Caenorhabditis elegans: one gene and its partner. The protein of the gene in region 2 interacts with the protein of the main gene of each other region in a pairwise test. Each region holds a gene or a part of one and is shown on either strand. Other genes may lie near its edges.

What was found. Proteins that work in one complex are often made in the same cells at the same time.
Region 1: the proteins of adbp-1 (region 2) and adr-2 interact in a two-hybrid assay, tested with the Caenorhabditis elegans proteins (2 studies listed by BioGRID).

The regions. Positions count from the first base shown.
Region 1 is NC_003281.10:7,230,077-7,235,643, forward strand, and holds adr-2 (Double-stranded RNA-specific adenosine deaminase adr-2), read right to left. Parts: upstream 2,807-5,567; coding exon 2,397-2,806; intron 2,344-2,396; coding exon 2,004-2,343; intron 1,952-2,003; coding exon 1,718-1,951; intron 1,674-1,717; coding exon 1,344-1,673; intron 1,271-1,343; coding exon 1,097-1,270; 3' UTR 963-1,096; downstream 1-962. Other genes in the region: R151.10 (uncharacterized protein), read right to left, coding at 108-676, 723-855; ndus-8 (putative NADH dehydrogenase [ubiquinone] iron-sulfur protein 8, mitochondrial), read right to left, coding at 3,126-3,471, 3,692-3,779, 3,853-3,997, 4,046-4,105. UniProt on the Caenorhabditis elegans protein: Catalyzes the hydrolytic deamination of adenosine to inosine in double-stranded RNA (dsRNA) referred to as A-to-I RNA editing. Acts primarily on non-coding regions of protein-coding genes including introns and untranslated regions (UTR).
Region 2 is NC_003280.10:11,442,226-11,446,625, reverse strand, and holds adbp-1 (Adr-2-binding protein 1), read right to left. Parts: upstream 2,465-4,400; 5' UTR 2,457-2,464; coding exon 2,378-2,456; intron 2,330-2,377; coding exon 2,216-2,329; intron 2,167-2,215; coding exon 2,079-2,166; intron 2,022-2,078; coding exon 1,847-2,021; intron 1,801-1,846; coding exon 1,670-1,800; intron 1,617-1,669; coding exon 1,550-1,616; 3' UTR 1,520-1,549; downstream 1-1,519. Other genes in the region: W02B12.13 (uncharacterized protein), read right to left, coding at 143-459, 1,146-1,218, 1,269-1,317; ebp-2 (Calponin homology domain-containing protein), read right to left, coding at 2,838-3,106, 3,155-3,449, 3,504-3,752, 3,802-3,888. UniProt on the Caenorhabditis elegans protein: Required for the A-I editing activity of the double-stranded RNA-specific adenosine deaminase adr-2 by facilitating adr-2 nuclear localization.

The DNA of each region.
Region 1 (5,567 bases), on a different chromosome or scaffold from region 2:
AAAAAAAAACAACTAGAAATATAAAATGGTTATGTGAATATCACAAAGTACGATCGAATACAGATAGAAGTAAACCATCAGTTTTTTGAAAGAAAAATATGATATATTTAATATGGGGGCAATCCGAAGTCCTCTGGCTTAAACTGTTCCAAACTATTCAAAATCACAGTCACACGATTTTTGAATTCTGGGTCTGAATCGGGGTCGAAAATCGATCGTTCTGGAACCATCACACATTGCATTCCAGCATCGAGTGCCGACAAGACACCATTGTACGAATCTTCAAATACAAGAACTTTGTCCGCCGATTCTGGAACTTGTGGGAATCGTTTCATAGTCACCAAAAATGGATCTGGGTGTGGTTTTCCGTGTTTCACTTCAGGATCATCTCCCGATAAAACTTGCAACTTGATCATGTTCACCCAATCTTTGTGGTTATCCAATTTCGTTGGAAATGTGCGACTACACGATCCAGTACACAATGCAACTGGAACTCCGGTATGAAGAAGGTGACGAACCAGTTTCTCAGCTCCAGGCATCGCAGGACTCCTTTTGAACATTTCGATGAGAAGTTCATCGTATTGACGTGAATACTCTTCCGGTGTCACAAGATCGCCGATTTTCAGTTCGTTGATTAGCCATCGGATCGATTCATCATGGCGTTTTCCCATTTGCCCTGAAATTTATATTAAAATAAAAATATTTCTGATATTTCTTCTCACTTCTCTTCAAATCCATTGTGAAAACGTGTCCATATTTTCTCAAAAGCTCCATATTCGCTTCCGTGTATGCAGATTCTGTGTCGACGAGAAGACCGTCAAAATCGAAAATCACATGGGTCACTGATGCAGGCATCTGGAAATTTCTATAAAAACATATTTATTCCAGTTTTCGTTTCCTTAAATAATATTCAACTCCGAGATAAGTAACTCGAATCACTGAAAATTGTAAGTCCAAAAAATAAAAGATTAACAATTAATTAATGCAGAAATTAAGAGTTAACAGCTAAAATGGAATGAATACACGATGCTGCATGAGATTTTTAAAAGTGGAACCACATTGAACTTTTGATACAATAAAGGTAAAATTGCATTGATTAATTTATAGTAAACATTTGAAATTCTCGTGGCTTTCGTTGCCAAATTCCGAGATCCTTCTGTCGCAGCCAGGTAATGAACGACTTTTTTGCAGCAGCGTATTCTTGAGATCCAGCTTTGAGTTCTTCGTATGAGATTGGATAATCCACAGAAGTCTTTGTCAACGTGCAGATCTGAAATAGAAGGAATTGTTGAGTTTCACACTCAAAACATCAAGAAAATTATTTTTATTTTCCCCCAGCTTACAGTAATCATCAGTTCTGCCATATTTTTTTTACACAATCTGGATGGAGTCGTGATGTCAGCCCCGCTCATATCCTTATCATGAACCATTCCATCCGATGTTCGTACAACTTCTGTATTTCCATCAGCCAAGTTCCAATTCATCGAACTAATCGTGGATCGTGCTGCTGCAGAAGTTGATTGCTCAGTATCTTCCACTTGACACTCTCCGATTTCCACGTCTTGAACATGGAATGGAGCTGGAGGTTTGAAGGTGGCTGCTCTGCTGTAAACTGCTTTACGGAGACGATCTGCATTGTTCAACTCGGCAACGGCGATTGACGAGTAATAGATCTGAAAATCAAGATCTCATGTTATACTAATCAGGTTAAACTAACTGGATCGATGAAATGTGATAATATTGCTCCTTGGACACCCAGTACATTTGCTCGAAGCAATTTATCAGAGCAAGACATTGTCCTCATTCGTTCTCCCATCATGATTCCATCAAATGTTTGTGGAGCTTCAAACTCAGAAGCACCACCGAGCACTGTGCCCATACCTTTATCAATTTTGAATCGAAGACGAGAAGAATTTTGAAGGTCATCTGATGTTCCGGGTTTTAGCTTTTTCTGAAAATAATTCAAATGAAGAATTTACAAAAATTAATACTTGAAAAGTTACATCTATTCTCGCAACTCCACATGGTGCGGTGTTTATGAATAAATGGAAAGAAATTCCTGGCTTCAGCACCAATGCGTTCTTTCCTTTTGTAAAAATTGAATTGGGTGGCTCTGTAGAGAACTTTAGAACTTCGGAATACAAAAATCTCAGAAGGCCTCTTCTTGCGAGAATTTCAGCATGACAATCTATGAGAGCTGTTCCATCGTTTACAATTTTGTCTCCGCGTAATCCCTTGTTTCCAGTGGAGAGAGCAATGATTTGGAGGTTTCCATTGATTTTCAGGAAAACAGAAGCGATCACTTTTTCGAATCCATAGATTAAGGCGTTGTTCTTACAAAGTCTAAAATGATAATAAAAGGGATACATTCACTATGAATTATTTTTTCCACTGACTCATAAAATTTCGCGTATGTATGTTCTCTGAGCATCTCGAAAAATGTGGTTTTCTCCTCAAATTTGACAGCAGGCACAACGTATTCGCTAACATGCTTGAGCACGACTTCCAGTCCTTTCAATGAGCACGACACCTTTGCCTCTTTCTTTTTGGATTTTACATTTCCCTCGATTCGTTCTCCATTTAAAATTACAACACATATAAATTTCATGGATCCGTTCGGTTGGTTTCTGTTATAGAAATCAAAAACTGGAGTGTTGCCTGTCATATGAACATAAAGCTCTGAGAATAATGACATTGGATTCTTTCCGCTTCTTTCCACAGTTTCCTTCACAAAGTCGGGAATATTGTCATCCAAATCCATTTTCTCTGACTTTAACTCAACTTCCATACCTTCTTCGACGGACATCTGAATTACGAATAATTTTTGGAACAAAAAGTCCACATGAGGAAATGTGTAACAGTTTTACCTTGAGATATCGAAAAAACAATAGAGCAACATCGACTAGTGAACGATATTTAAGAAAAACATAGAGAAAACATAAAAGTATATAACATATTTTGTTTTTCATCTACAATTCGGAAGTTATCAGAAAAGGGGAACAAATACTAAAACCTCAAAATTAAAAATAAATCATCTGACAACAGAAAACGGAAAAGCGAAAAAGCTACGAAAAAATCAGGTATTTTAAAATGTTCTCTTCTCATTTCCCACAATTCGTATTATCTTAACGATAAAGATATTCGGCTTGAAGATTGGAAGCGAGCTCAGGCTCCCAGCGATCACCATTCAACAAGAGCTTCTCCTTATTATAGAGGAGTTCTTCGTGAGTTTCAGTCGAATATTCGAAGTTCGGGCCCTCGACAATTGCATCGACTGGGCAAGCTTCCTGGCATAATCCACAATAGATGCACTTGGTCATATCGATATCGTATCTAGTGGTACGGCGACTTCCGTCAGGTCTTGTTTCGGCCTCGATCGTGATAGCTTGAGCTGGGCAAATGGCTTCGCAAAGCTTGCAAGCAATGCATCTTTCTTCACCAGACGGGTATCGACGAAGAGCGTGTTCTCCTCTAAAATACTGATTTTTTTGTTAATAATTTTTGTTTTTTTTTAAATTAACTAAATAATTAATATTTTTAATTAAAGAATTTTCGAATATGTGTCGTGTGAAGGTGCAAGTTTGTTCAGTTTTTTGAAAACTATTAAAATACAACCAAAATATGCTTATTTTCTTCCAAGCTGATTATAACAAATGCTTTATGATTTAATTTCAATTTTTAATTTCTGTACCTGAATCTTGAACTGAGTGGTCCCTTTTCGAAGGGATAGTTGATAGTAGCTGGCTCCATGAATACGTGACCAAGCATCACTCCGAAACCTGAAAAATTGACATTTTTCCTTCACACAGTATACTTCAAAATAATTTTGATTCAAATTTAGTTTAAAATTACCTCTGAAAAGTTCGGTGAAGAAAACATTGTGAAGCCCGTAATTCAAATCTCCAGCCAGTGTTCCATCGGTTTCATTGGGCATACCAACGAATTTGTAGTTGGATCTCTTTTGAATTGTGTTGGAAGGAACACTGCTGACGGCAAGCTAAATAATTGATTATTTGAAACGTATATTTGAATGAGAAAATCTCACTTGAGCCGGAATTCTTCCAAACATGCCTTTTGTGAGCACTGCCACACTTTTCATCGCCATTTTGACAGCGTGGTTAAGTTACTGAAAAACGTATTATTGATAGACTACATTTAATTTAATTGGAATGAAGTGTTTATAATAGAAAAACATTGATAAATATAAAATTGAACACGAAAAAATATTAAAAAAGCGAGAAAGACGCAAACATGTCCTGCAGGTGCACGAGAAACGCGCCAACGATGAACCAAGGGCGCAACTTCTGCGTTCCAACAAAGTTTAATTCCCAAATATCTATTTAAATACTTTTAGCCTTTCAATTTATATATTTTATATTGTTATTATGTTTAAATATTTGTCAAATAACATAATTTTATCGTTTAGTGTTTCTAAGCACGCTTATTGTCACAATAATTTTACTTTAATGCTTTGTTTCTTGAGAAATTAGGAAAACTGTTCTCAAGTTTGCTTCCGAATATTTGTTTCTCAATTTACTTCTCATAAATATATATTCTCGGGTCGCTGCGCTCCCCCGAGAAAAGGTTTTCCCTTGTTCCTAGCTCCGTTCGAGAGAAATGAGGTACGAGAAAAGGAGGAAATTGAGTTACAGAATTTATGGGCTTTGCGTGTGGTACAGGTCGTGACAAAAGTAGAAAATTAGGGGCAGTTGGGCGCCAGGCGCCCAACTTGAACGATATGAGGGCCACGAACGGTATAAATTGGGGAAATTTAATGTGCTGACGCCGTCGTGAAGAGCCCGATCGTTCGATGTTGCCGACATGATGTTGACTGTGCAGGAGCTGCTGGTGTTGCTGATGGAGCCGACTGTGCTGAAGTACGTGCTGCAAAAACGAAAAAGGACGGACCGAAAGTACTTATTATTGGTTAAGGTGGCAAAAGAGGTAAAATGGTAAACCAACGTGAATCGATAATCCTGGCAACTCCTGTAGATCTGATACTTGAAGCTCGTCTGCTGCCCAAACAAGGATCGTCGCTTCTCAACCCTCTGTTTTCGCGTTCCACCCACGTGCGAACAATCCGAAATTTCCCTAAATCCTTGACAAGAGCCCGCGAGATCTTTCACTGCCGCTCTCCGTTATGTCTCCTGAATACCTAAAAATGGCGAACTGATCTGAAAACAAATTATGTTAATTAGGATAGTTTATAGTTTGGGGATTATGGCCGTTTCCCATTTAAAAGACCCCGAAAAAGAACTACCTGTAGTCTGTTATGAAGTAATCTCGCGACTCGTGGCCGACCGCGGTTTTCTCCACTCCGTTAGTTATCCTTTCCTTATCCAGGTCTTATCCGAAACTTGAAAACTTGTTCTTGTTGGCTCGCTGGATTCCTTCCCTGCCGTTCCAATGTCACCCTTGATACCTCTAGGGAATTTCCTGTAAACCTTCAACGCCTGCAAATCGCCAAAATTAACCTTTAGGGATATCAATTTTTGGTCGCTATTAAAAAATTTTTAAACCTTTCCTGCCACCGCCAAAAAAGACTGACAGATTACTCCTGCAATTAT
Region 2 (4,400 bases):
GCTTATAATCCAATTTGTTATGTGTCTACCTACCCTACTTCTAGAGAATATAGAATTTCATATATTCTCTATGAGTTCAAATTTATGTGGGAAAAGATAGGCGGTAGGCAGGAATGTAGGCATTCAAATGAAGATAACTTACCAATTGACCCAATATCCTTCAATAAACCATTATGCCTTGAATCTGGTGGCAAATCTGTCGTAGTGATTCCCAGTTGAGCATCCCGAATCGCCGATTTCAGATCTTCCGCCGGATCCACTGTACTCGTTGGCAGTCTCGGAGCAGTTCTCGGTTGTGAGGCGATTCGTTCCATTTGTTGCTGACTTGTTTCTTTCGGCTCTTCTCGTTTTTCCTCGCCTTCTGCCTGCTTCTCGAATCCCCACGCATTGTGCTCACCGTAATCGTGTGGAAGATGACGGTGGCGATGACTCCGTTTTTGAGAGTGTTCATGGTGTGTTCTGAACTATAATTATTAATTTGTTTTTCAAGAAAATTGAACCCTGCTTTGTGTCGATTTACGGCACTAGTGTACTCCCCGAGGAGAAGTGTACAGTTTTTGCAGAAATTTTAGACAGAAGAAATGGTTTATGGTGAATCCTTATCTGTAAAGATAGGGATATGGAAATTGATAGCAAGTATGTGAAATTTCAAGCTTGTACCACAATCACAGTTCGTGGCGAGACTCACTCAGAAAACCAACGTGTGCCTTTAAAGAGAATCGTCAAATTTTTATGGCACTACGATAAATAACTAATTTATTTATTACGGAAACACAAAAGTTTGAGAATTTATTGTGCAACATATTCGACGCGCAAAATATCTCGTAGCGAAAACTACAGTAACTGTTTAAATGGCTACTGTAGCGCTGGTGTCGATTTACAGGATCGATTTTCAAAACTAATTTATTTTCGAATTGTGACAGCGATATTCAATTTTCGTTCGTTATTTAAAAAATATTTTTTGCCATTTTTGTGTCTTTGAAACAATTTTATCGATAAATAAATGATTTCCGTGAATCGGCACAAGCACTACACTAGTCATTTAAAGAGTTACTGTATTTTCGCTAGGAGATATTAAAAAAATTTTGCGTAATACGCATTCTCCCTGTTAAATTTCTGACTATTCTCCAAAAAAAATAACTTACAATCCAGCATTACTCGAAAAAGGATCTGGACGATCATCTAATCCATATGGAAATGGATCATATGGAAGACTTTCTAAAAACTTTCTCGTGAACTGAACTCCCAGCCGAAAATAGATTACTAACCTATAATTGCAACTAGGGAAATAAGAAATATCGAATAATATTTTAGCATTTCAAATATATTGAATGTGTGATAGGTGGAAAATGAGATGTATTTCAGTGTAATAAAGAAAAGGTGTAATAGATGATAAACATGATATGACCAAATAGAGAAAGGGATAGGCTATCAGCTGTTTCAATTTTTGAATTTCCTCGTATTTTCTGAAAACAAATAGTGCAGGAATATGGACTGCTTTGAAATTTGTTTTCAAAGAAATAATATATTTATTACAATTAATGATATATTAACAATTAACAATACTTGGAGCCTCTTTCTCGATTGTAGCCGTGATCGCTTGTGTGATTTTTTGTCTGAAAATAAAAAATAAATGTTGAATATTCAGAACAGCGAATTTTTAACATACGCTGTTTCAGCATCGCATCTTCTAAGAACATTGGCGACTGCGGCCGCGTAGCCAACAAACTGATCACTGTCATTGTCCTGTTTCTTCAGCTTTTCCACTATTTCCTTCACGTCCATCTGTCGAGGAAGAATCTGTAAATTGTCGTTTTATTAAAGCCTAGAGCGAATAAGTCTTTACCTGCGTCTCGACGCTTCCCTTCTTAATATTCTTGACACCCAAGGACTTGAACTTATTGGCGTCTTGAGCTAAGAGCATTGTCAACTGTCCTTCTTGAAGTTGATTTACTGTCCATTTCGTGTTAACAATCTGATTCAAACTCGTTGGGATCGGACACACGCTTGCAGCTTCGGGACTGAAAAATTAATAATTTTTTAAAAAGAATAATTCAAATTTAATCCTTAATTCTTACGTTTCAAAGTTTAAAGAAATTCTGCCGGGAGTATCTTGAATTTGATCGAGAAGTTGTGTTGCTGCTTTTCTCGCCGTCTCGTCAGTGACTAAAAATTTATTTGTTGAGAAATTGAAGAATTATTTGAAATTTTATACTTTGCTCATCGCCACGTGTCATTTTTGCCTTCTTTTTTGCGATTGATGATGTCGTATTTCGTCGCTTAAGAGAATCGTGTTGAGGTTCAGGACGAGCAATCATTCCCCAATTTTCTGCAATAGAAATTAATTATTCTACTGTTTTTTCCTCAAGTTTTAAACCTCTGCTAACTTTGTCTCCACTGGAAACTTCGAAAAGCTTGTCGAATGAGACCGGCGTACATCCACTGGCGAAGCTCATTGTGTTCTCTGAAATATATTTTTCTGGATACTTATTTAAGAAAAAAATATCTCAAAGTAGCTAATCGATAATTAACGTTATGGCGGAGCAACGTTGTGGAGTCGGCTTGTTTCAGAGATATCAATGTTGTGTCTGACAATTATGTTTTCATACAAAGATATAAAAATTGCGATTCCTTGTTTATTTCCAAGGCTTGAAATAAATAAAAAATATTCGCCGAATATGCTTATTTTACAGAAAATATGAAGTGATTGCTGATAATAAATTAATGTGGAAATCGATGGCACATTGAAGCGGGGGGAGTGTGCTCTTAAAACGAGCAGAAATTGATGGGAATCGTGAGTATACGGGGATAGGATAAGCAATGGGAAACAACAATATTTAGAAAGTCTCCGTATCGTCCAGATTTGCCTGCAGAGACTCGACAAGATGTTCGTTTTCGATTTCATCGACCTGCTCAGTGTCCTCGTTTCCGGCGTAGAGAATCGTCTTCAGAGCCGCCACGTCGACCGTACTGGAACCACTCTCCTCTGCTTCGTTGGCAAGACTTTCGACACGCTGAAGAATTGAGTAGTAGTATTCTCGTTCTGTCTCCATTTCCTTGGCCGTCGTCTCCCATTCATCACTGGCGGCCTTGTGTTTCTCGATTTCTAAAAACAAAAATTTAATAATAGTACAATTATCACGGAATCTCAAACCTTGTTTGAGAAGTTCTTCGCTTGCAGATGGGTCAGCGCGTCGAGTTCCGGCTGATGTCGCTGGAGCGGGCCGGGTGCCGTTGCGAACTGTCGGTGGAACTGATGCTTTCACAGCTGGAGCCGCAACCGCTGGCGCAGCAGGCCTTGGCTTTGGCGGAGCGGCAGCCACCGGTCTAGCAGGAGCAGCAACTGGACGAGAGCCTGTGGATCCTTTCAGAGCGGGCAAGTCCTCTCCGAATCGAGCACCAACTGCATCATATTCTTCTGGCTCCGTGGTCAGGTTCGCATTGTAGAACTGCAAAAAAAAAGTTATTAAAAAGTTATTATGCCTCTCACAAAAAGAACGTACCTTGTAGAACCATTGCAAAAACTCCATGTTGTCCTGGAACTTGGCCTTCTTCATTTTCTCGACATCGACCGGCTTGTCAATGCCGAGATCCTTCCAGGTCGTTGTGAGCACCTTCCAATTGTTCAGAACATCGGGCTCGCTCCGTGGGTTGAATTTGACCTTCTTCAGGTTGATGGCGTTGAACAAGAGATGAGTGAGCTGACAGTACGCGGCTCCAGACGCCATCTCTTCCACTTTGGTGAAGTGACTCTGAAATTTGAAATATTAAATAATTTGAACATTTCCCGCAAATTCAAACCTTGAGTAGGTTATTGACCCAAGCAACTGCTTCCTTCCGGCTCAGCGTGTCAGTGGTCACAGCCGAGATGAACACGTTGACGACCATTTTGCCTCGGTTTCTGAAAACGACGAGATAAATCAATGAAAAAGTGGAAAATAAGAGGTCGCCACGTCTGCTGCGCGGAACATGGAAACATAAAGATTGTAGGACACAGACAACGAGACAAACAGAAGAAGGAACGAGGGAACGAAATTTTGGAAAGCAGAAATGCTAACCGCACTGACTAGGGAATGACCAGAATAAATGGAGCGATATTCAAAAAAAAATATTGTATCGGAAAGCTGACATTCTCTACTATAAGAATATGACTGAAATTTTTGCCCGTTCGGGCTGGAAATCTGAAATTTTTACGTCTGAAATTCTACACTGAAATCAGTGCATTTCCTATGGTTAACAGTGGATTTTTGTCTCTGGCGCCAACAGAAGTCTCACCACAATGGTGGAAGGGCGAAAACATCGGTTCGGTGGTCGAGTGGTGAACGCGTTCGCCTCTTGAGCAGAAGTTTGTGGGTTCGGTTCCCATACATGGTTTAACTTTTGGCCTTTTTTATACAAAA